3 linked regions of the Drosophila melanogaster genome follow. The protein of the gene in region 1 interacts with the protein of each later gene in a pairwise test. Each region holds a gene or a part of one and is shown on either strand. Other genes may lie near its edges.

The links.
Region 2: the proteins of Drep1 (region 1) and mtgo interact in a two-hybrid assay, tested with the Drosophila melanogaster proteins (one large-scale study listed by BioGRID).
Region 3: the proteins of Drep1 (region 1) and CG43736 interact in a two-hybrid assay, tested with the Drosophila melanogaster proteins (one large-scale study listed by BioGRID).

The regions. Positions count from the first base shown.
Region 1 is NT_033778.4:12,041,392-12,051,517, reverse strand, and holds Drep1 (DNA fragmentation factor-related protein 1), read right to left. Parts: upstream 6,907-10,126; 5' UTR 6,655-6,906; coding exon 6,610-6,654; intron 3,543-6,609; coding exon 3,327-3,542; intron 3,044-3,326; coding exon 2,772-3,043; intron 2,714-2,771; coding exon 2,353-2,713; coding exon of another isoform or gene 2,326-2,352; 3' UTR 1,346-2,325; downstream 1-1,345. Other genes in the region: CG30039 (uncharacterized protein), read left to right, coding at 1-386; Polr3B (RNA polymerase III subunit B), read right to left, coding at 8,935-10,126.
Region 2 is NT_033779.5:16,542,005-16,548,951, reverse strand, and holds the start of mtgo (miles to go), read right to left. Parts: upstream 3,937-6,947; 5' UTR 3,514-3,936; intron 1-3,513. Other genes in the region: CG31816 (uncharacterized protein), read right to left, coding at 5,777-5,959, 6,169-6,279.
Region 3 is NC_004354.4:6,864,851-6,872,162, reverse strand, and holds the start of CG43736 (uncharacterized protein), read right to left. Parts: upstream 3,937-7,312; 5' UTR 3,383-3,936; intron 2,903-3,382; 5' UTR 2,774-2,902; coding exon 1,172-2,773; intron 1-1,171.

The DNA of each region.
Region 1 (10,126 bases):
GAGGTCCTCCATTACCGCAATCACCTGAAAACGTTGAGGAAAATGTGAAAGAAACCAAAGAGGTTCAAGAGTCCCAGCGCTGCAGTAGTTCGAGGATTTTAAATCGGGAACATAAATATAAGCAGCCAGAATGCAAAGCATCGAGATCAGTGAAAAAAAGGAAAAGGGCAAGGATCCATAAACGGAAAAGCACTCTTTACGGAGATCGCGCTGTGAACTGTACCAAGTGCGGAACTGTCACGATCTATTTTCCGGCCCGCACCAAGTTTTTCTCATGTGCCGAGATAGATGGTCGATTGTTCAAGGTGAAACGGATCTCGTCCAGAAAAGTACTTGGTGGTGCTTACCGCAAGCAACCTATGAAGCGTTCGAAATTACCGTGTTAAAAATTGTTGTCTACGTTTAGGAAACAAACGTACAAAATTTACTTGAAATGAAGTCTTAAGATTTTTACTTGAACGTAATTTTCTAACTAATTGTATAACTTTTTATCTAAATTATTCGTACTAGACTTGTTAAATAAAATGCCTGACTACTGAATAATTTTCAATAAGAGTCTTTTTTTATTCAAAGGACCAAAATCGGTTCGCTCGAAGCTCAGATTGCTTTCGATTAAGTTTCCATTTCCTCTTCCGGCACTTCCTCTTAATCTGCAGGACAACATCAAAAGAATTACAAACTCAAGTGTGTGTGACAATTTCTTGGCCAGGCAGCCCACCGTAAATGCCATCATACACATCAAAAGCAGTCAAAGCGATTTTCAGTTACATTTTTAATATTTTTGGGCACTTTTCGCCCCATGATTTTTCTTTTTTCCCCTGCCAGCAGGATGAAAATCGTCGAGGGCGCAAATTAAAAGAGCAGCCAAGGAATGGGAACCGAAAAAGGGATGTGCTGTGTTAGTAGGGGATATTGAGTATGCAAAGGCCACAGGACGCTGGATTCAATTCATCAAAGCCAGGGCCACGCCCACAAAGAGACCCTTGCTGTGGGGCGCTGTCGTCACGAATTTGGGTCACCCGGGAGCTTTGAACTGTGTTAGTAGGCCATCGCAATCAGCTAGCCAGGACCTGCAAACGTCATGGTGCAGTGACGTCACGAAGGAAGTTGAATGGCAAAAGAGAATGGCGTCGAGTAATGCAATTATATGGCAGCAGCAGGTGTAGGACTCCCACTCTCTTGCTCTCTCGAACTGGAAAAAAGGGAAATGGAAGAAGCGGTGAAGGAAGGGGAAACTCTCTTTTGCCAGCGGAAGAGCAGGATGCAGTCCATACGCCCTGTTGCACACGCTTTGTGCGTTGCGCATACGCCCCGTTTGCCAGTTATGCTAGTTCAATCAACTTTAGTTTAATAATCATTTATTTATTACTTGGTTTCGTGTATATAGTTTGCCTCGGGGTTTTCACTTGCATTTACTGTATGCTTTTCACTATATTTAATAATTGTTCACTGTTTGCATTCGGTTTTAGATTTCGTTTACGTTTACGGTTTCCCTTATTGCTTATTCGAATTGTAGACAGTTACAGTTACCAACTTTGATTGGGCAATTGCAATTTGCGTTATTGTGTTCCATTATTGTTTAATTAGCTAACAATGTTTGCGCTGTCGCTTAAATTCATTTGGCTATGGATTCGGGGGCGGGAAGACGGGGATTCTGGGAGGACAGGGCAGCAGCGCTGGAGGCTTCCATCCGATCTTTCCCGAACCGCTCAAACCACGAAAAAACCTATTACACATAAATTCAGTCAGTCTCAATTGGCCTTTAACGAATGACATTCACAATGGCATTGGTCTAAAAACAATATTTGATGTGCGTTTCCACTCTACCTACTATTCGTAACACAATTTACACGGTAAGCAAATCAACAGTTTCCTGGGACAACTCCATCCAATTGGGGTTCGCTCTGGTTGTGGGATTCTACCTCAAGTATAATACTTATTTCGCTAACCTTTGATTATTATTCATCTAGTACGGCTTGGTGTGACTCGTGTATATGCGGTTAAATACGATTCCGCTGACTGTGATTGCTAAAAGACTTTTCAAATCTGCGCGGGCCTCTTGTTCTCTTGAGCCTCGTGACCCGGTGTTTAAATCTAGTACGTGTATTGTTCGTTAACTTTCATTTGCTCTTAGATACTATGAAGCATTTTCAATGACTTGATTTCGTCTCCGTTTCGTTTTTGCTGATTTCGCAGTGCCTAATTACATGCTACAAATACGATTTATGTTAACCCAATGTTGCAGGACTGATGTCTTCGGTATATCCTTTTGGCTCTTGATTTTGATTGGCGCACCCAGTTGCGTTAGTTTTCCGCCGGCAGACTTTACCTAAGACTGCCCAAAATGGGCAGTCAGATGTCGCCGTTGGCATTTGGATTTCTATTTGGATTGGCATTGGCCTCATTGGCAGCCGCTTCGGCAGCGGAGGATCCCATCGCTCCACTGGCTGTGGCGCAAGTGGTGGTGGCCTCGCCCACCGTAATTGTTATCGTCGTGTTTTGATTGTCGCACTGCACCACCTCGATGGTGCGGGTGTTGCTCGTCGTTGTGGTGCTCATCTGTCCACTCTCCGCCTCGTTCAACTGCCGTCCAATCTCCCGGTCAATGGCCTCCGCATCCTCGGGATAACGTTCCGAGCAGAAAATGGCACCAGCTTTCAATAGCTTCAGCAGATTTAAACGATCCTCGGCATTCCGCTTGGCACACAATGGCCTAAAGTCATGAAATCATGCTACAATTAAGTGGTATATGGGAAAGGAATTAAACTCACCTTCCCGCATCCTTGAGCTGCTCCATAAACTCCTTTCCCGTGATGTCCACCAACGAGTTGGGATCCATGTTGGAGAGTGAGTCCAGATCGGCATCGTTCATCACGGACACGTTGCAGAGGTTGTTCTGCAGCTGGCCCACCAACTGGCGGATGCGAGCCGACTCCGAGTTGTTGGCATCGGTGGTGTCGCCCTCGCCTCCTCCGTTCAGCTCTCCGTTTCCAGTTCCTGCCTCGTTGCCATGTGGAGTGGTTATCGTCACGTAGTGAGTGGGCTATAAACAGAGTGCAGATAGCATTTAATTTAATCTTCCTGGCTTTGGTCCCATGCTCATGGAGCTCTTTCATGGCATTCAAGAAATAATGCAATTAGTCATTATGGCAGATAAAAGGAGGGACACATAAAATGAGCTATCCAATTAAGCGGTGTTCACTTTGAGAAATGAAAATTACACAATCGCAAAACGAATTTATTGAGGTGATTTAAATAAAAAAGGTGCTGATATAATTATTTTTAAGTGCCTGTTTTCCTTTTCCTTTTATTTAAGGGCTACTCACATCGATCCAATGTTCTCCGGGAAAGACGGCCACCAGTTCCGTATTCTCGTCGAGGGTGCGAAAGTACTCCTCATCATCGATCTCCGTGCCGTCGGAGTCCAGGTGGATGGTGGGCAGGTGGTCGCACTTCTCGAACTTCTCCGCCACCTTGCTGCGGATCTCCTCCAGACTGGAGGCGCAGACAGCCTTCTTAATGTTGCGTGTTACGTCCTTGACCTGGCCATAAAAACGCAGAAGGACAGTGCCGGGAAAAGGGAATAATAAACCATTACACGTTTGCAATTACGGAGACAGTAGCAGTTACACATGGCCCCGCTCATCAAATGAATAATAAATTAATGTCAGATGGGAAACAACTGAGGTCCTATAAAATATTCACATCGTCGGCACCCAAAATAAGAAAACGGAAAAACATCGAAATGGGAAAAGTTGTAAATTTTCCTTTAGCTGCACCCTTTTTCTTGAGACAACAACGTGAACGGAATGGAGAAACTATGGAAACTTTCCGCCTGATTTATTCATTATCCTCCCGCTTGCACTTAATTATTCAGTCTGTTTCTCTTTTCAACGCAAACTTTACCCTGTTTTTATAGTTATTTAATTAGGCAATCTTTGAAAATTCCATTAAACAAAGAGAAAAGATAAATAGTAGCGCAAGTTGCTAAATAATAAATACACAACCACATTTCGACGCTGATTGTTTTCCATTCCCCGAAAAATCGCAATGAATAAATGAACGCAATATTTGCGACCACGTCATGTCCTGCTGTCAAATGTCCATTTGCTCTAATTGAGATTTATGGACGGCTTTTTCCCGGTGGGGGATGTCACCACCTTAAAGTGCCTCCCACAGCCCGACGACTTTGTGCATATTTCAGTTGCGAATGCCGAGTTCCATGAGCTCCTCTACTTTTGCTCGAGATCTCGAACGCAGTTTGACATGCACTCTAGCAGCTGCGGTGCAAATATTTGTCGTTTATCTCCCACTCCCCGATTCCCTGGCGTATCCTTTTAAATTTTCTTTTTATTTGACAAGTTATGCATGTCAGCATTCTTCATGCTGCATGCTCCTTCGCGAATGCCATAGGTTAGTGCTGTTCGCCGGTTGCAAGGACGAAGGACGCAAGCCTTTGGCTCTATTAAACTTGCATGCGATGTTAAATGATGCCTCAGCACTAAGGTTAAACGAAACATAAATTAGACCCGTCCAGATGGAGGCTCAAGGAGGCGCAACTTTAAGGGAGCAAGCGGCACGAATGCATTCCACCCAGAATTTATAGCCCCGAAACGTCGGACAGCGTGCAACTCCTTGAGGTCCTTCATGAATATTTGAGAGCACCGTGACTAAATGAAATTGTACTCGAGTTTGCATTTCGAACATTTCATTTTACTCGTGCGCCTAGCTGCTCTATCATCCCAATTCCATTTGCTCAGATAGCGGAGGAGGTCGTCCCTAAATTATCTTATAAATACTTAAAGCCACATAACTTTTGTGCCGCGAAAGCTCCAAATATTAATCATATCATGAATGCGGCGTGTGGGGCTAGAACTTTGTAACAATGAAAACTTTGCCCAACTACTGGCGCATTTGACAAGTGGGAGTCGCGGCAGCATCGAAAACAAAAGCATAGTTTTTGTTCGGAAACTTGTCAAAAGTTTTAGTCGATCGCATTAGTTGATTTTTCAAGTGGCGTCGATTTTTCAAGCGGTCGCAATTCAATTAGCAGTTTATCTAATTACCCGCAAAATTATACAAAGCTTATACAAATCAGAAACAAGATTTATTCGGAAAGTAAACATGTTTCAAAAGTGTTTCAAGTTGTTTCTTGAATGGAAATGCTATTAGGTTATATCATTAAGAGCAAATTTTTGGCACATCGTGGTAAGTAAAACTTTATTTTTTAATATTTAAATATAAGAATAATATTTAAATATTGAAATGAGCAAACACAAATGTTACCTACTTGCTACTGTTTAAGATACAAATTTCCAAACTAGCATCACTACAAGTTCAGGCTAATGTATGTGAAAGTCTAGATGAAATCAGTTAAGTGTTTTTCTAGAAGACCAGTTTATACACAAAAGTGTATGCAAAACGACTTGGGCAAATTGGTAGAGCAGCAGCGAGTTGAGGGCTTATAAATCTCAACTAACTCGAGCTGCTCAGCCATCAGGACCCGAGGGTCCTGGTCCACACATACGTACGTAGATGAACGTGCAACGACCTCCGGCGTCTGGCTCCGTTTTAGGAGCAGCCGAAGGAGACGTGCCAGGAACTCTATCATCTGCATCCAAGATGCGGGCAGAATCCACAAGTCGCAGGACATTTTAATATTTGATGGGCGTAGGCCGCAGATTTTCGAGTCGCTGGGGAAATTAGGCGACAACTTTAAATTGCTTTTGAACTATGCCGCGGCATTATGTAGATTGTTTAATAAATTATTAACAAAATGCCTGAGGCGGGTCGTGGGCGTGGCTGTTGGCTAATTACAGCGACATGTCGGGATGAAAAGTTTTCCCTTTTTAATGGCATTTTCATGGCTGTCATGGTATTTGACAGCTTTTAAGCCGATTTGCGTTTGGTGGTTTTTGAATTAAATATTTTAATAAGGAGCGGCATTTTAATGGATAAAGTGGGGGAGGGAATTCCTGGATGTTATCTCCAGTCATGTTTTACGAAAGTTGTTTTCTGTGTTTCACAGACAATTTAAATAGCTTTGTGGTTTATTGGTTTCCTTTGAGTTGTCAGCTGCATGTACTTCCAGTGGTTTTCTGCAACCTTAAGCACGTTTTTTACATCCCCATAATACTTTAAACAGCTTTCTGCTGTTTAAGCGGCAGATAAACAAATTAAACAGGAAACAATGGCCCAGCAGTCAAGTAAAACAAATGCTAAAGGCAAACAATTCCCAATACTCGAATCAAAAGGCAAATGCAAAGCTAGACAAACATGTAAAAAAAAGGACAAAGAGAAAGAAAGCAACTAAATAGTGTTTTTGAATTTGCAAAGTCAAATTTCAGGCAGTTAATGCTTATTACTGAGCTTTCGGCACTCTCTTAGCTTGAGCTTTTGGCTCTCTTGAGTTCTGAAGTTCAACCCAGTTTCCATAAGAATCCAAAAAAAAAGGAAAAAAAGTAGCGAACGCAGCACGCGGCCAACAACAACAAAGGCGAAAACAACAACGCCCAAAAATGGACATGCCAGGAAAATAATGCATGCACTTAAAATGCAATTGTTCGTCTGCGGCCTTTATTTCCATTTACAATTACAGGGGGAACTCACTTTGAAAGGCTTTTTGGAGTCGCCCGAGTTCGCTGCAGTCTCCATGGCTTTGTTTGCTCCAACTAAATTACTTATTCACTATGCACTTTATTTCCAGGCTTAATTGCTCCACATTAAATGACTTTTCTATAGATTTGATTACTTTTCGCTTGCTTCTTGCACTTGCACTCGGCGTCCGAACAAACAAACTTGGAATTTCCTTCCACAAGCTGCACTTCAAATGGGAATTAACAATATTTTCTCGGCTCCGCAGCGGAGCTTTCGTTGCGATGAGCACCGGTTTTGAAATGAGCGCGTTTTGCTCAAAAGCACTGCCTTTTATACGCAGAGAAAGGGCTTCTAACAGATGTTGAGTTCGAACTGCGAGTGCTCGCTTTTAAATGAATGTTAACTGATAGGTTCAAATAATATTTGTTTTATGTCCTATTGGCCATGTTTCTTTTTAATCATGATAAGTAAACATATTTTTGAAGCCTAACACTTTTTTTTTTTATATTTTTTTTTTTATAAATTATTCCCTGTAGATTTTGGTTATTTAATTAATTAATATTGTATCAATTTTTTGTAAAATAGGTAATAATGTGCTTCTAAAAGAAAACACTAAACAGATTAGAATTTTAAATATATTGAAACATAAAGCTTACAAAGAGAAAACAAACATAGTCAAAAACACGTTCTCTCTCGCTGAATATGTTAACATTTGGCTGTGGCCTAGTCCCTAGAAAACACAAAGAGTTTGCTGGAACAATCCTGGCTGAAAAGTTAAGGTGATTCCAGCAATCTAATCTCTATTTCCATCGGAAGGTGCTTTCGGATTCAATTAGTCCATTGGGAGGGGTTGCGCATTATCAGCCCAATGATATCCGGTGTTGTCAATTCGAAATCCCCTCGCCCGCTTGGAACCCGGCCAAAAGAGCAGTTGGACTACGCTTAACTTTCTACACAAGTGGCCAACACCCATTTAAATCTATATACATCTATTGCCATGCACACATCAACGAACCGTCCAGATAAGAAGAGCAAAAAGCAAACTTTTGACAAATGGCCAAAATACATGAAAGGAAAGCCAAAGCCGGAAGGTGGCCCCAGATTGGGTTCTCATCAGTTTGTGCACGGCGAAAAATAAAGATTCTGTTATGATACTAAAAACTAATAAAAACTATAACTTATTGCATACTTATCAGCGCCTAATTGAGCAAATGGATTCCATAAAGGATAAAGGTATGTAGGTATAAATAGGAATGAGTAGTTTTCTTTTAGTCATACGAATATCAACTAACTTTATATAATTCTCAAAAGTTTTTCCACGTATAAAACGGTACTGAATAGCCCGGAAAAGAGGTGGGCATGCAAGTATGGGGGAGATCAGAGATGGGGCAGCCTTAAATTGTCATCCTAGTGCGCACCATTGGTTCCTCGGATGCTGATGCTGCTTCTGCTGCTGGCAGTTTGCCCCGTTTGCTGTCATTGCACTGCACATAGTAACTTCTACGTGTCCTGCGGAGGAGAAGCAGCAGTGGGTGGTAGCTGTGACTATTTTAAGCGCAGGTCACTCGAAAGGACGCACAAGGACATTGGCTTGTGTGGGTGGCTGTGTCGCCTGCAGTTCGCAGGTCACGTGCATGCACCGCGGTGCATTGACCACGGACACGTTGACACATCGGCCGGAATCTGGGTTGAGCTCCACCTCGAAGCCAGGTGACAGGTAATTGCCTCACGGGCAATCAGGCAATAGGCAATATCGAGGGAAAACAATAAATCAACGCCTGGCGATATTGGTTTTACTAAGAAGCATCAAGCCGCTCGAGAATGTTTAGTTTAACTGAGCCAAAAAACAAAATACACATAAGATAGAGGATTATAAGGACAAAGAGCAAACAAAGAAACAGAATAACAAAAAACATTTCATCTTAACAACTTAATCTTTTGTCCAGACACAGACGTTTTAAATTCGGCCAAAAGGGCAGACACAACTAATTATCCTTTGCGCAATAAAAAAAAAGGATAACATAAGCGATTTAACACGGCTCAGTCCTTTTCAGTAACAGCTTGCGTCTGCCTGTTAACGAACAGAAAGCTGATATGCAAAAGGACCTCGTTAAAATTCAAGAGGACTTTCTTTCGCTGACTTCGTTTGAACCTCTTCATTTTGACATTTGCAGCTCGCGGTCATGGAAACTTAATGAATGCGTAGGATTTTTGCCCTTGCCAGAGTTCACACACCATTCGTTTTTACAAAAATATTGGAAAACCTAAGCTAGTTTCCATCATTAACCATTATTATTATATAACAATTATTTTATTCGGTTTCAGGCCATTGCATCGTTAATAGTTTTCCAAAATCATTTTCGGCACCACATTCATGCTGGTCAACTCCTGGAAGAGCAGTTTGCATGCATACGGCATGGATATCTTAGAGACATTGGCCGACGACTGGCAGAAATGACACCAGGAGCAGTAGGCCATCCTGCCGCAAGTCCGGCAAACATCCACCTCAAAGGCATCCGATGAGATCATCAGACGCTCCATGATCAGCATACTAGCTCCGTAAGAAATGAGACAATCCCGTTCCATTTCGCCCAGACGAAGGCCACCCTCACGACTCCTGCCCTGCGTCGGCTGACGGGTGAGCACCGCCTTGGGTCCCCGGGCACGGGCATGCATCTTATCCTGCACCATATGCTTCAGTTTTTGGTAGTACACGGGTCCCGAGTAGATGTAGGCCTCCAGTGGTGTTCCTGTGATGCCGGAGTAGAAAAAGTCCTTGCCCACGTAGTTGAAACCATGGCGCTCCAGTTCCGCCTGAATGTCTTCCACCTTGGAGCCCCCGAACGCAGTTCCATAGTGGAACTTGCCCTCCAGGAGACCAGCCTTCCCGCCGAGCAGCTCTAACGTTTTACCCACTGTCATACGGGAGGGGAATCCGTGTGGGTTCATTATCATATCCGGGCAGATGCCGAAGTCATTAAAGGGCATATCCTCCTGTTCAACAATCAACCCAGTCACGCCTTTTTGTCCGTGCCGAGAGCTGAACTTGTCCCCGATCTCGGGGATACGTGTCTGGCGCAGCAGGATCTTGATGAGAAAGTCTTCCTCGGCATTGGCGGAAACCATAACGCGTTCGATGTAACTGGGCTCGGGACCCTTATAGCTAATGGGTACTGCGGTGTAGGGAACCTGTGCAGACTGACCCTGCAGCGGATTCATCGATGTTACCGCGGGCATTTCCTTGTTAATCATGATCTGTTTGTTTTGAACCTGCTCGCCTGGAGCCACAATTCCGTCAGTGTCCAGAACGTCGTGCTTGAAGATAACCTTGTTCGTCAGCGCATCTTTCATGGGACCCATGATTCTGTCGAAGGTTTGATTCGCATACCGTTTCACAGTGCACTTTGAGTTTTTGTACACCAGACAGCGTCCATATCCCCGATCTATCGACGCCTTGTTTAAGATCAGCGCATCTTCGATGTCGTAGCCAGAGTAACTCATAACTGCCACAGTGGCATTCTGACCAGCA
Region 2 (6,947 bases), on another chromosome or scaffold:
TGGGTGGCAGCGAGGCGCCCGACAATGTCGCGACGCTTCCTATTCAATTTGAAAACCAAATGAAGCGTTGCCTCCGCCAAGGAGCAATTTACTCAGTGCATTGAATTGACCATATGGTTGGACACCCACCGAAGTCACCCACACGCCATCCGCACCACCGCCCCTCGAGGCATTTAGAATGGCCAACCCACCAGTTACAGGATCCCTTAAATTTTCGTAAAAAGCTTTAATGCACTCAAACAAGTTCTACACCATATTGTACTGTAAAAGATTTCAAAAAAGTAACTTTTTTTAAATCACTGTATACTTCATATGGAATATTTTTAGAGATTAAAATATTTATTTCTTTTTTTTTTATTTATTAGAAATCAAGTTCTAAATATACTATTTTATTTTTGTCATTAATTATTGTTGGAAATAAAGATGTATGAATAAAATATTTATTTTAAATAAACTTATGAATTTCGAATGCAAATCCATTTTTTCCGGTGCAATTGTAGGGTTTTTTATATAGTTACTCGCGCTGCTTTGCTTTGACCTTTGCGATGACGTCGGACCGGCGTCGGCTACCTCAAAGAGAGAGCAATGTAAACAGAGAAAGAGAAAGGCAGAGAAAGCAAGAGAGAGAACCAGTGGGGGAGAGAGCCTGGTGAATAAACAGCATGGTGAGAAGCGGTTCCTACGCGAAGAGTGCAACAAATGTTTGGTGGACAACTTCGGGCCAACAAGGTAAATGTTAAGGCATACACGATGGCTGAGTGGGTGAGCTTGTCGTTGGGTGGTTTTAGCGGGCGGTGGGTTAGTTGGGCGGGCTGCTTAGTGGGGTGGTTGCTTTTCGGCCCGTGACGCGTGGGCAGCGACAAAAGCGGGTGAAGCTATGTCTTGCCCTTTTTTTCGGCATACTGGCATACATAGCACGGCGAATTATTTGTGTGTGCCGATGTGCGGATATACAAATGTGTGCCTTTATAAGTGTGCTTTTATCAGGGTGCGTCAATCTAAGCCAAGTTCTGAATTTACGAAAGTCTTGAAATGCCAAGTATATTCTTATAAAGGTTTAAGCGCTAAAAGGAAATCAACAGTCCGCAAAAATAGCTGATCTTAATATTTCTTCTATTAAAAAAAAAGCACTTAATTTTAGTTCAGATCTTTACTTAGTTTAAGTCCTATATGCATGAACAAGTTTAATCAATATTGAAGTTTTTTATATTTAGCTTCGAACAAATTGCTCCACCCTAATGCTCCTGTATCCTTGTTCGCGATGAGCGTATACCCAGACAACGAAATGTCACAGCAGCCTACTTATGCTTTTTTCGCATCGCGTTTTATCCCCAAATGTGTGTGCGATTTTTGGTTCAGCTTTTTGGCATATGGTCGCCGTGCCGGAAAAGTGGGAAACCGGTAAGGGGGCTGCTTTCCCATTTGCAGTTTGGCTGAAAAGCTGTTTCGCTTATTTCCCTCTTTTTTAGTCAACCGTTTCTAGATAAATATTTTGCAACACCGCATCGCATTTCCATGATTAGCAGATAAACATATGCCAAGTTGCAAACTTGGCGTGTGTGTTCGGAGTGTAGAAGTTTAGAGAATCCCTGGGTAGTGGGCGGTTATACACGCGACTTTAATTGAGCTTTCAAGAGGACTAAGTTAAACATACAAATGTTTGCTTAGGATGCAACAGCTGTTGGCTGTGAGTTAAAAATTGTTCGAAAAAAACCTCTTTGGAGAAGTGGAATATCTTAAAATATTTAAATTTAAAATTTGATTTAAAACAATAAATGACGTAAGGTTTTTAAATTATAGTATAAAAATACTAGATTAATCGAAAATTAATGAAGTTTTGTATACCGCATTGAAACTGTGTATCTAAAGCTTTTAACTATTTAATGCCCAAAATTGCCTAATAGCGGTTCAGTTTAAAATAAAAAAAAATTTAATTACCCGTTATTATCACAAAATATATTCCTCACTAACTAAAATCCTTTTATCTTTAACCCCACACCCATTGTCATTCCATTTGGTTGGAATGTAACGCCTGCCCTTAATTCAATTAACTTTAATGAACCAAATTATAATTGCAAATAAATTATCTTATTAAAGACGCAGAAAGTTCGCACTCTTGCCTTTTAGTAGCACTAAAACTCTGAAAACGGCGTCAAGGCCAATTAGAAAACTTTGTCCAAACATCTCACTACCAAGAAGGACGAAACTGAAACTTATCTTTTGGATCAGCAAGAGCCCATTTTCACCCAAAAAAACCCCGTGTGTCTGGGCGACAATCTAGCATATGCCAAAGTAAAAAGCTCACCAAAGTCAAACTCGATTAAAAATGCATAAATGCAATTAAACGCAAATGGAAATCGAACCAAACTCGCAAAAGCTTCAAGCGAAAACGCCTCGAGGTGGAAAAGCCAAAGAGATACACTTTCCAAGAATTCCACTTTTTTCACAGACATTTGTTTTTAAGCCTAGAAGTTTAAAAGTATTAATGGATTTGCAACACATACAACATTAAATACAAGTGATTATATAATAATTTTATAATTATATAATTAAATTTTTTATTTAAATTAATTTTTACTCAGAAACATTTGATAGTACGGTATATACCCATAATTTTATTCAGTGTATGAAAGCAAAAAATGTAAAAGATATATGTAAAGAGGCAGTGGGCGGTGGGAGGAGGCCAGATATCCAAAAGACGCGACAAGTGTCGGCCGAGCTTTGTTTGGCGCAAAGAGAGCAGCGCACTTCGAAGAGCAAAAAGCGCGAAGCCAAAAATCCAAAGACGACCATAGATAGTAAATTGCAAAGTTTATGCCGCCAAGTTCATGAAATTGTAATAGCTTCATACCACGGTTATGCTTCACCAAAGTGGTCATACAATTAAAAAAATTACGTACACCTAACTTTAATCCATTAAACTCGTACATTTATAATTATAATTTCTGATTTGGCGGAATTAATGAACTAAGTACATCGTGCATTCATTTTGCTATTGGGTCCACGCATGAGCTTTGTAACAGTAAAAGAAGCCCTGACCATGCAGTTGCGTCAATGGGTGCGAGGGAGAAGGGTGAGTGTGGGAGCAGGAGGTGGGCTTGGGTATTAGAGAGAGAGAGAGTGGGAGAGCGCGAGAGGCACTGGTTGAGTTGGTTTTGCTGACTGCACTTGTTTTGCCATCGTAGTTATTGTTTTTGTTGCTTGCAACGTTTTGCTGCCACTTGGCCGCAAAGGCAACAAAAACAAACACACACTAATACACGTGCGCGTTATTGCCAATTCACCCACATACACACAAACAACAGTTAGCCGCCGCTTGTGTGTGTGTGTACGCTAACATATTGAACGCATTTTTTCATATTTCTCAATGGAAAAGCCAACTCTAAACACCGTTAATATCATCCATATTAGTTAGTTGTCATTTGTGAGAGAAGAAAATGTGAAAAACATGTAAATTGCTGGGCAAAATAATGCAACATATGCTAGCACCACACTCTGATATTATCAACTTACTTTGCAAGTATTTGCCTTTGAATTTGGATTTGATTTTGCTTTTGTTTTCTATTTATTTATTTGTTGCTTTTTGGTTTTATTTCTTGCTGCACTCACTAACACAGAAACACACACGTACGCGCTAAACACGAAAAGCAGCCAATATATTTTATTCGTTTTGATTTTCACTGCTTGGAAATTTTCGCATTTCCATTTTCGAAATGCGTAACAACAAGTATTCTGTGGTTGAACAAACAACGATTTACGCGAATATAATAAAATAACGATAAACGGTTATTACGATGGTTTCCGCTGGCCAAAAACCTGCGACGAAATAGTCAACTGAGGGGAAAACAAGTAACAATTGTACCTGCCGAATTTGTTTTTAAACGCTTGCCAGCTTTTCTGATTTTCCGATGCGAACGCGCGCGCTGCGAAAAACATATTCGAAGCGAGTCGGAGAAGCCCCTCTATATAGATTCTCTCCGGCGCTTGAAAACAATTCGCATTGAGTGAGTTACGAAAAGCGGCTGATTCGGGCGCCAATTTGCTCCCACGAATTCTGCACGCTCTTACTCCAACGCATTGGAATGCTCCGCGCTCTTGAGCGCTTTCTGCACTGTTCGCTCGCTAACGGTAGTTCATGTGACGTTAACGTAAAGCTTGTTTCATTGCTTCATTATTGCAATGCAAAAATTTACATTATTTCTTCTAACTTACCCATTAACCGAATTAAATCTAATATCTAACATCAAATAAGTCGTTATCTAAATTATTGTTTTAATTTTTTATTTGACCTGGGCTTTTCTATCGAATTCTATGTAATTCAATGCAAAAATTGAAGTTGTTAGTATTTTTTCTTTGTGCATAAGAGTAAGCAATTGTTGCTTTCGTGCGCTCTCTCTTTTTCACTATCTTTTAACCCGTTCGTTTGCGTGGGTGCCAGGGAAATTTCCACCCACTGAAAGTCCTAAAATTGAGTTATTAAGTGAATCAAGGGCCAGCAAGGTTTTTGAGCATAGTTATTTGAATGTCCAGAAGATCAGCTTATTACCAAATGCATTTATTTGATTACTCTATCATGTGACACTACGTGTACAAAAATTATATGAATAAGATATTTACGTAATGAAGCCGAGTACGACTTAACAATATTTTAAACTTAAAGCTAAATATACATTTTATAATTTGAATAAGAATAGGATTGGGAAATTCATATTTAAGGACGGGCTTAATATATAATATAAAATATCCCTTTTGGCGTCGACTGCGCTGCATTTCCTCTGCCGTCGTTTTTGTTCCAAAAATCGCGTGGGAGAGTGAGTGAATAAAGGAAAGGTTGGAAGAGGGAGAGGGAGAGAGTGAGAGTGAGTAGGTGAGTCCAGATTGAGTTATTTTTCCAAGCCTGCAACCTGTATGAAATTATGGCTCAAGAGGCCAAAAGCTTTACGCGGTTGAAAATTGTTGCTTTTGCGACGCCGGCCGAAATGCAAACAGCTGTTTGCAGAATACAACAAATAATAAATAACTTGAACTTCAAAGCAAAACGGAAGGAAGATTTCAATATTTCATGGAAAAAAAAAGAAAGAAACTGGCTAACAACTTCATACATATATAAATTTTAGTATACGTAATATTATTTGAAATCTAGGCAATTTTGTATTATCAAAGGTCAATTGAACAATATACATAAGTGGGAGAATCGAAAAATGACTCGTAATATAAGTCTAGTCCTGCTAATCCGTTTTGCAATGGACACCACATTATTCAAGTCAATTTCTATAAAATATATAATAAAATGATAATTGAAATTCATTTTCTAAGCTACGTTATAGATTGTAAATCTTTTTGTATAATTTATTTTTCAAAATACCGTTAATCCTTTTAAATGAACCCGACTGGGAGGATACATTTCTGTTGAAATTCTTACGTATGTAAATACTTCAATGAAATTGTTAACAAAATCTCCGTATAACACTAGTACTTACAAAACTTTTACAAGAGCTTAAGGAAAGCGTTAGCATATAACCAAACCATTGCGGTAGGTGTCCACGCTAAAATGTAAATTAAATGTGAAAGCCGGAAATACAGTTTCAAGTCATTTCCGGAACTATTCTGGAATCCATTCTATCCAAGTTACAACATAATAAACTCCTTAAAGGGCTATACAAATATTTGGACTAACCAAGTAAAGTTGGGTATGAAAATATTTTATTTTAATAACTGTATATTCCCTTAAAAATGGAATAGGAATAATTTCGCTGTCCTCATTATTTTGTCGCTTCTATGCCCCAACTTTGCAGAACTTTTTCGATGTTTTTCGCAGCCTTAACCACCACTCGAAGTCATTCTTGATGTATTTAGCTTTGACAGCACGTTCGCGTTGCTGCACAAATTCGTCGCGATCGCGCAGCCAAATTCTAGCGTACTCCCAGCCAATCAAGTGCGACATCGATACCGGACTGCACTGTAAAAAAAAAATTAAGCAACAAGATATTACCAGCATGTAAGAAATATTAGGAATTATTGACAACGGAACCAGGTGTGCTCGCTCTATATTGAGAATTTATTTTGTTGCCTACTTATGTGGGTTTTTCAAAGGGCAGGTATTAAATTAATTATTAAAAAATCCACTACTTTAAGATATTTAAATCAAAAGCAACTATGTATAGTTACCTCTAGCTCGCAGGACGGCACAAAGCGTTCTCGTTTTCCCGCTTCGGTGGTAAGATTATCCTTAGGCTTACATAGGCGAGCTCGCGACCATTCTTTGGTCTGCTTATTCATTTCATGAGGGGATTATTTATACCGGTTTCACTAAGATTTTGTCGGTGACAATGTATAAAAACTTAAGATTTTTGAAAACGCATTTCCTAAAGCGATAAATTTATGGATTAAGGTTCAGATATGTTTGAAGGAAAACGCGTTACAAGTAGTTTACATTTTTGTACATTTTTTCATTTCAATGTTTTGGGTTTTAACAAAGAAACGAAATAAAACAAATAATACAAGACTGAAAACAGTCATAACAAACTTGATGAAATTTTCCAAACCAAGCCATCCGAAGGACAAACAACGAAATGTTTCGAAGGCGTTTCCTTCAACCAACAAAGCCAACAAAAACATGTCCAGGACCAAGGAAAAGAAGAAGAAGAAGCGTAAATAAGAAGCAAAATTGAACCTGGAACTGAAAGACAAAAGGCAAAGAAGTATAACAAACTTTAAGTCAATACACCTACACAAAATACAACAAAACAGGGCGAAACAAAAAAAAACAAAATTAAATAGGAAAAGAAAAACTCGCCACTTTCCCTCCGCCCCGCCCCCCCTCTCAACCGAATAATAGAAGAAGCAGCACAAGAAAAACAAAACACGGCGACAGGCTAACAATTTGAGGAGAGCGCTTTGAAAAATGGGCGTGGCAGTAGGTGGTTTCGGTAGCTCCGGTTGTCAGA
Region 3 (7,312 bases), on another chromosome or scaffold:
ATTTTAATTAATTATAAATTTATGAATTTATAATTAATTTATGGTGAAATGTTTGTAAAACAAACATCTTTCTTTCGTGAGAAAGGAAGTTTACTTTATAGAAGTTCGACTGTAGTGGCAGCAACAACAGCAGCAACATCAACAGGTTGTGGCCAGCACACACACACACACACACACACTCATATGCACATCCCAAAGAGGGAAGAGAGGGCACCAGTGGGGGGAAAGAGATGGGGATGGGCATAGAGGGAGATGGAGCCACTCTCCTATGCACACTATACTGGTGACCTAGTTTTTGATGCCGTCGAACGCTGCTGCTGCGCTGTTGCCAAACTGCGAAAAAATCAGCTAGAAAAAAAAAGCACGCTAACACAAACAGCGATTTATATATGTGTACGATGTACATATGTACTGCCTAGCATATGTAAGTTTGTGTATCATTACAAGCAAGGCCAACAAAACACGGCCATGCACTCTCTAGAGAAATCCCTCCGTACGCACACATATACATCCAAAATACCCCCAATACATCCCATTTCCACCTTTTTCGAACTGGTCTCCACCAAAGTCGGGCCTGGATTTTCTATATCAATGGTAGTCAAATAACTAGTTTTAAATGCCATTCTAAGCAGTTCATTTTTGAACTTTATAATATACTATACCATTAAAATAGAAGTAATTTAACATTGGGTGTGACATTACTAATGTATGGAGTGGTAGACAATTTGTTAAACCAATTAAGTACCGGAAATGTCATTCATTTCGATTTTGAGCCGAAGGATTCTAGTATAAAATAGTAGCTCTTAGTGATAAATAAGTATCCATTTACAATTTTACGAAATAAAATAAAATGCCAATTCACAAATGAGCTGGATTAATGTATATCACAAACATTGCATAAACACCGACTCGCATTACTCTAAAGTAGGCTCGAATTTCTAGATAAGGCTTGAAAAACGATAATTCGGTTGAGTGTAAAGAATCTTGTATCTATAATATTGTTCAGTAGCTGGGGTATAATAAATGATACCATAGCAACGTTGATATTATATTCCAGATTACGATTGGGCATTACTTCTCAAACTTTGCTAATAGCTTTGATATCCCAAAGTTTGATAAACATTGTGCATTAATTGGAGGAAAACGTTAGCTAGCCTAGTGCTCAACTCACCATCATCTGGGCGTGGAGCTGCAGGTTTGTCTGTCCGGACATCCATCCGCTGCTGGCCAAAGCCTGGACGGTGGCCTGCGATAACATCCTGTTGTTGCCCTGCGACTGCTGGAGCATCGACGCCGCTGCCGCCGCCTGGGAATTGAAGGCCGCTACCGCGGCTGCCCCAAAACTATTTGCCGCATTCGCCACACCATTGGCGCCGGCGGCAGCTGCTGCTGCGGCGGCGCGTTGCTTCATCAGATGCTGTTGATGCGCCGTCGCCGCTGCTGCGGCGGCAGAGGCAGCGTGCTGTTGCTGAGATTTTGAGGTCACCTGTTGGCCACCAGCGGTGTTCGCGGAGGATGATGCGGCTGATGTGTTCTGGCCCATGTTGCCGCCGCTGGAGGAGGAAGGGCCGGACGATCCGGAAACGGAGGTGGTCACTTTTGGAGGCGGCGCCGAGGGTTGACGGGTCCAATTGACCGAGTTGTTGACATTGGCCCGATTGCCAATGAGCAGATTGGAGTCAACCACCTTGCTGGGCCAGTAGTCCTCGAATTCGGTGCCATTTGGGAAGTAGCTTTTGATGTCCGTCAGCGAAATCACGGCCACGTTCTCGCTGGAGAAGAGCTCATTGCGTATGCCCTGCACCTTGCAGCAGAACTTTAGATAAGCCAGGTCCCAGCCATTGAGCAGCTCCGCTTTGGTCTTTAGATTCTCGGTCTCGCCCTCAAAATAAAAGAGCGGCACAACCTGCTGATTGTTGCGCACAGTGTAGGGCACCACGGACTCCTTGTTGATGCGAATAAAGCCGCACTTCTCCGACGGCGTCTTGCTGCCGGAGACTAGTTTCCTATAGCAAATATCCAGGAACTGATAGAACTTGGATGCGTCACTGAGACGCACCACCAAATCCTTTTGGTTGAAGATGTCGCGACCGAACTCGCCGTCACAATGCTTATGATTAATCTCGATGAAGAGACGGGCCTCCGCATCGGTGATGTAGTAGCTGCGCACGCAGGTGCAGCTGGAGTAGATATCCGGATGCAGGCAGTTAAGGTATTTGCCCAGCAGTTTCAGTTCGATCATGCGCACGGAGCAGTACTTCTCCGATTGGCGATAGATGTACGGTATGGATACCTTGCCGAACTGAGCCCAGCCGAAGTGGCCTTGAATGGACTCCTCGTCGCAGGGTCCCGTGGAGGACTTCTTGTCCGAGCCGGAGTCGCTGACGGCTCCATTCGAGCGGCCATTGGAGGCCAAGGCGGGCACCACCTGCATGGTGCCGTTGGGTAGTTTCTGATGACGAGATAGGTAGTTCATGATATTGGTCTGGCCATTGCCATTTGTGATCGGCGGCTGCATGTTGCCACCGGCCGAGGATGCCGCAATGGCGCCCCCATTCGAGTGCTGCATGGCCGCTTGACGGGATGCCTGCTGGGCGGCCTGTTGCTTCTGCTGCTCCTTCATTTTGGCAGCTAGTTCGCGGATCTCGGCGTCATCGGGACGCTCCTGCTTGACGGGCGGTCCCAGGGGACCGCCCAAACTGTTGCCGTGGAGCGGTAGGCTCTGGCCATTGGCATCGATGACGCTAGTGATCTGCACATCCTCGCTGGCCATCGCTCCTCCGCACACTCTCGCTCTTTTGCTCTAGAATGCTGTCTTGCTCGCGCTCTATGTAATCTTGCGTTATCGTACTTTTCCAGACTTTTCGATATCCACACTTTTGGTTTGGTTTTATATTAGGAGCTGTATTGAAAAATTTACTTGTTAGGATGACAGTTCGATTGGTACTGCCAGCATTTCAATTTGATATGTTATTTGTGTATGTATTTATATATATGCTCATATATGTCAATATATATTTAACAAAGACTGCATTATGTCTTACTGATTTTTTTAATTATTCACACATCAAAATGAAATTCTTTTGGCAAGTGTATTTGTTATTTAAACAGAACTATAAAAGAAATAAACAGCCGGCTTGTTCGATCCTTCTCTTTCTGGCACACAAACGGTCACACTGACCGGCTGTCTCACACACACACACACACACACACACACGTGATAATTTTTTTAGATGTTTTCCTTTGCAAGTGTGCGTGTGTTAATGCGCGCACTTATTTTTGTTGTTTTTCGAGCTCATTTCAACATTTTGCACACAATGCTATTGCTGTTGTTGTTTTTGGCATATAAATTATACATTATGTATGCATGTGGTACACTTACACAAACAAACGCTAACTGCATTTTGGCAGTGTGGCAAAAAAAAAAACAAAACTATTTAATGCATTTGTTGTTATATTTAGTTGCTGCTTTCTCTCTCCTCGTTTGCTTTTGGTTTATTAAATTCCTTTTTGTTGTTTTTGCGACGACGCTCGTGGTGAAAAAAAAAAACAATTTGTTTGGTTCTCTTTTCTTTTGATATTCGCACTTTTTCGCTAGTTTGCTTTAGCGCTTGTTCCGCATTCGACGCCGACGCACGTCCGCCCGTCTTCGCAATACACAAACGAGTGTGATCGTTGTTACGAAAATTATTTCAACGAAGTCAACTGAAAAATGTGTACGGCACACACACAAACCTACAGCCGTGCGCTCACCCACACTGGCGCAGCGCGCCGGCAGCGACGCCTACTGCGGCAGCGGATGCAGAGCGCAAAAGAAAAACGGAAAACACGAAAGAGAAAAAAACAAACACCCGTAGCGCAGTCGGCGTCGCTGCAACGCTGCCACGAACATTTTGCCGAATTGTTGTTGCTGCTGTCCGTCTCCCTTTTGCGCCCCCACCCCCCTTCTTATGCATTTTCCTACTCTGCCATCGCTCTCTCTCACCCTATTCGGCTAGCCCCCTCCTCGACGAACGCCTGCTCTCTCTCTCTCCTTCCGCTCATCGACTAGCTCTAAGCTGCGACGCCGACGTCAACGTAGCTGCAGAGTTACAACCCACAGTGGTTAAGACATAAGCAACTTATGGAAATTAATTAAGGGATCTTAGCCAATTCAGTATGAAAGTAAAATTTTATAAAATAATACGAATTTATGGGATTACAAGTTTACCATTTGTTGAATATTTAACCTCACAATTAAGTTCTTTAAATACTCTACACATATGTATCTCGAATTTGAACTTTTTATTGTTAAACTTTCTCTCAAATTCGCATTATTTTTTAGTAACACCATCTGGGAATCAAGCAGATCAAAAAAGGCAAGCTTCTTTGTGGCTTACTCATATAAATGGTGTAAAAAATAATGCAAACTAGCTAAATTTACTTTAAAATTAGTGTTTCCTTGTTACATGTTTACTCTTTACATACAGTTGTACAAATTTATTTGTATATATTATTTCTCTATAAGAATATAATAATGCCATTTTCCCCTGGCATTTGAACCACGGTACAAGGAAAGCTTAAGCTATGCTATATACAAGACCCACACACACTGACACATGTTCACAGAGAGCTGGCTGGGTCACAGTATTGGTATTGGTTTTGGTATTGGTGGTGTGATGATGATGTTGTTGCTTTTGTGCGGGAGTGGGTGGGTGGGTGCTCTTTGTGGGCGAAGGCGTGGCGGGGCGGCTCTATTTTTGGCAAGCACCAAAAGCAAAAGCAAAGGCCCCTGCTTAGCATTCGATGGCCACCTCTCCTCGCTCTAGCCCTCTCCCTTTCCCACATGCCATCACTCTCCCCGTCCCTTTCGCACCGTCGAATGCAAGAAGTTTTCGGTATTCGCGCGCTCTGCGGCTTTCAAGACAGGCCCCGTTCCAGAAGGCAGAGAAAACCGGGAACGACCGAGCACGAACACGAACAAACGAATACACGAGTTCACGAACGGGCGCAGCTCCAAAAGGTCGCCCCGACTCTAAACATTTACCAAAAAAAAAAATTTAATTAGCCAGGTCCAAGAGTCCAAGTCAAATTCCATTGTGCCGCCATCATACGGGGCTAAAAAGTTAACTGCCAGTTAATAACGAGTCCCGCGAAGTACAGTCAGATCAAAACAGGTGTTATTTGGTCCCGAAAACTAAACGTACAGTTGCGCCAAAACACATTGTGATATGTATTTTACTTAATGCAATGTCCACTTCAATTTATTTAGAACCAACTGTAGCCTATTAAAGGTTCTACTTGTTTTCATTCAATCATATGCTTATGTGTGTAATAGGATTACACAATATAAACCGAAACGCAATTTATATATGAATGTACGTAAGTACACCAATCAGTTTTTAGGGTATTCAAAAGCCGAGTGTCAATGGAAGGCACTGCAGTTTATTGGTATCTCTCGGCTTTGGTTTCAGGTGTCTCCCGGGCTTTTTAGTTTGTACGGTACGAGACTCTCCAGTGCGTGGCTTTCTTTAATTCTTTCGTTCTACGGGCTCCCTGTTTCGTGGCATCTCTCTTGATTTTGAGTGGGGGTTTTGATTTTTGGTGTTTTGCTTTGCTAATTAGTCAGCTGTGCGTGAGTGTGTTTGGGTATTTCTTGTACTTTGTGTGGAAGATGTTTTTTGTTTTTTTTTTCTCTACGGCCATGTAAACCCCCTTCTAATAGTGCGGTATTCGTATTTAGTCATATGCTTAACTATGTACATAGATATATATGTATATACATATACATACATAAATCTATATGTACGAGGCTATGTGCAACGGTTAAAGTGTGCGAAATGTGCATCTGTAGTGGTGGGCATACGCATTCGACATCGTCAGTCGCCATCGATGCGAACGAAGAGTGTACGAGAGTGAGAGAGAGAGGGTGTAAGTGCGAGGGGTTGGGTAAGGGGAGAAAGAGGGAGACAGCGTGAGAAGCGAGCGTTACGAAAGGCCCCGTTTCGTGCGCGCTTTGCTATGTAAACACGACTAAACATGTGCCTGCATGTGTGCGTCTGTCTGCATGTATGAATCTAGGCGTACACATGTATGTATGTTTGCATGCGTGGATGTAGACCGTTCGTTTAACCATCAATGGGAAATATTGGATTGGGCGTTGGGTGGCTCAAAACGGGGGATTGGGGCGGTAGGCGGATGGTCGGCTCTGCCGTTTGCTATGATTTTGGCAAGCTTCACGATTGCGCAGGGAACAGAAAACCGATATTTGCTGCACAAAGAAGTAGAACTAGGAGGGCTTACCGAGCTTGATGATGTTTGTACATATATATGTACATATGTATGTATGTATATACATATGTATGGTGGCAATATACAAAAATACAAACGAACAAGAGATCTTACCGCTTAGAAACGGTTAAATTTTGCCAAAATTACGTTAGTAATATTGTTAATACTGCTGGATGTGTAAACACTTTTTAAACAGTCTTGGCTTTGACAGCGACTAATGGCTATTTACAATTTTTGTGCGAGTTGCTTCAGGAATTTTCTCTAACATTTTCTTGTAAATGCATTTGTGCCACCAAACGTTAATGGGGAAAGTCGTTCTACCATCTACATAGTTTCTTAACACAAACTTAAAATTATGCAGATTTGCTGCGTATCTCTTTGCCTCTATAAAATTACCCCACTCACTGCTCCTTTCATTGGGGACTCTGGCCAATCAATGGGGACCGGACATCCGTTCGACCTCGGCTCCCCCCAAGCGCGCAACGCCCACCACCCGCAGTACTTTCCACCGCAATCTTCCCACTCACATCACTTTTTTTCTGCCCTGCTTTCCTCTCCTCTTCTCCTTCTCCGCTGCACTTTGCTTTCTGCTTTCGGCTAATGCGCCCGCAGCACCTGAGAGCGTTACAGAGTGTTGGTGTGCCGGTGTTAATGTGAGCGTGTGCCCAACCCCCCCAAACCATCGCATTGCACCCACTTCTTTCAACACCCACCGCCCCATTGCCACCTTTAACCCTCTGTGTGTCAATTACCAAACGCTCTAAGTGAGTACTTTTTAGGTGGAAAACAAACATTCGAGTTGAAATGCTTGCGGTTATTTCTCTTCGGTTATCTTTTTGGAAGATACACTTTAAATGCGCTTGAACTTATGTCAGTATATGCATAGAAATTTGTGTTTTTCATGATTTCAGATTTTGAAATACGAACGCATAGGATTGGACAGTAATGCGGATGTTAAACTATTATGCTCCACTATTGGGGGATATTCCATGTAAGTCTAGGCTATTGCCACAAAGGATAGTACCATGCGGAACAGGTGTTT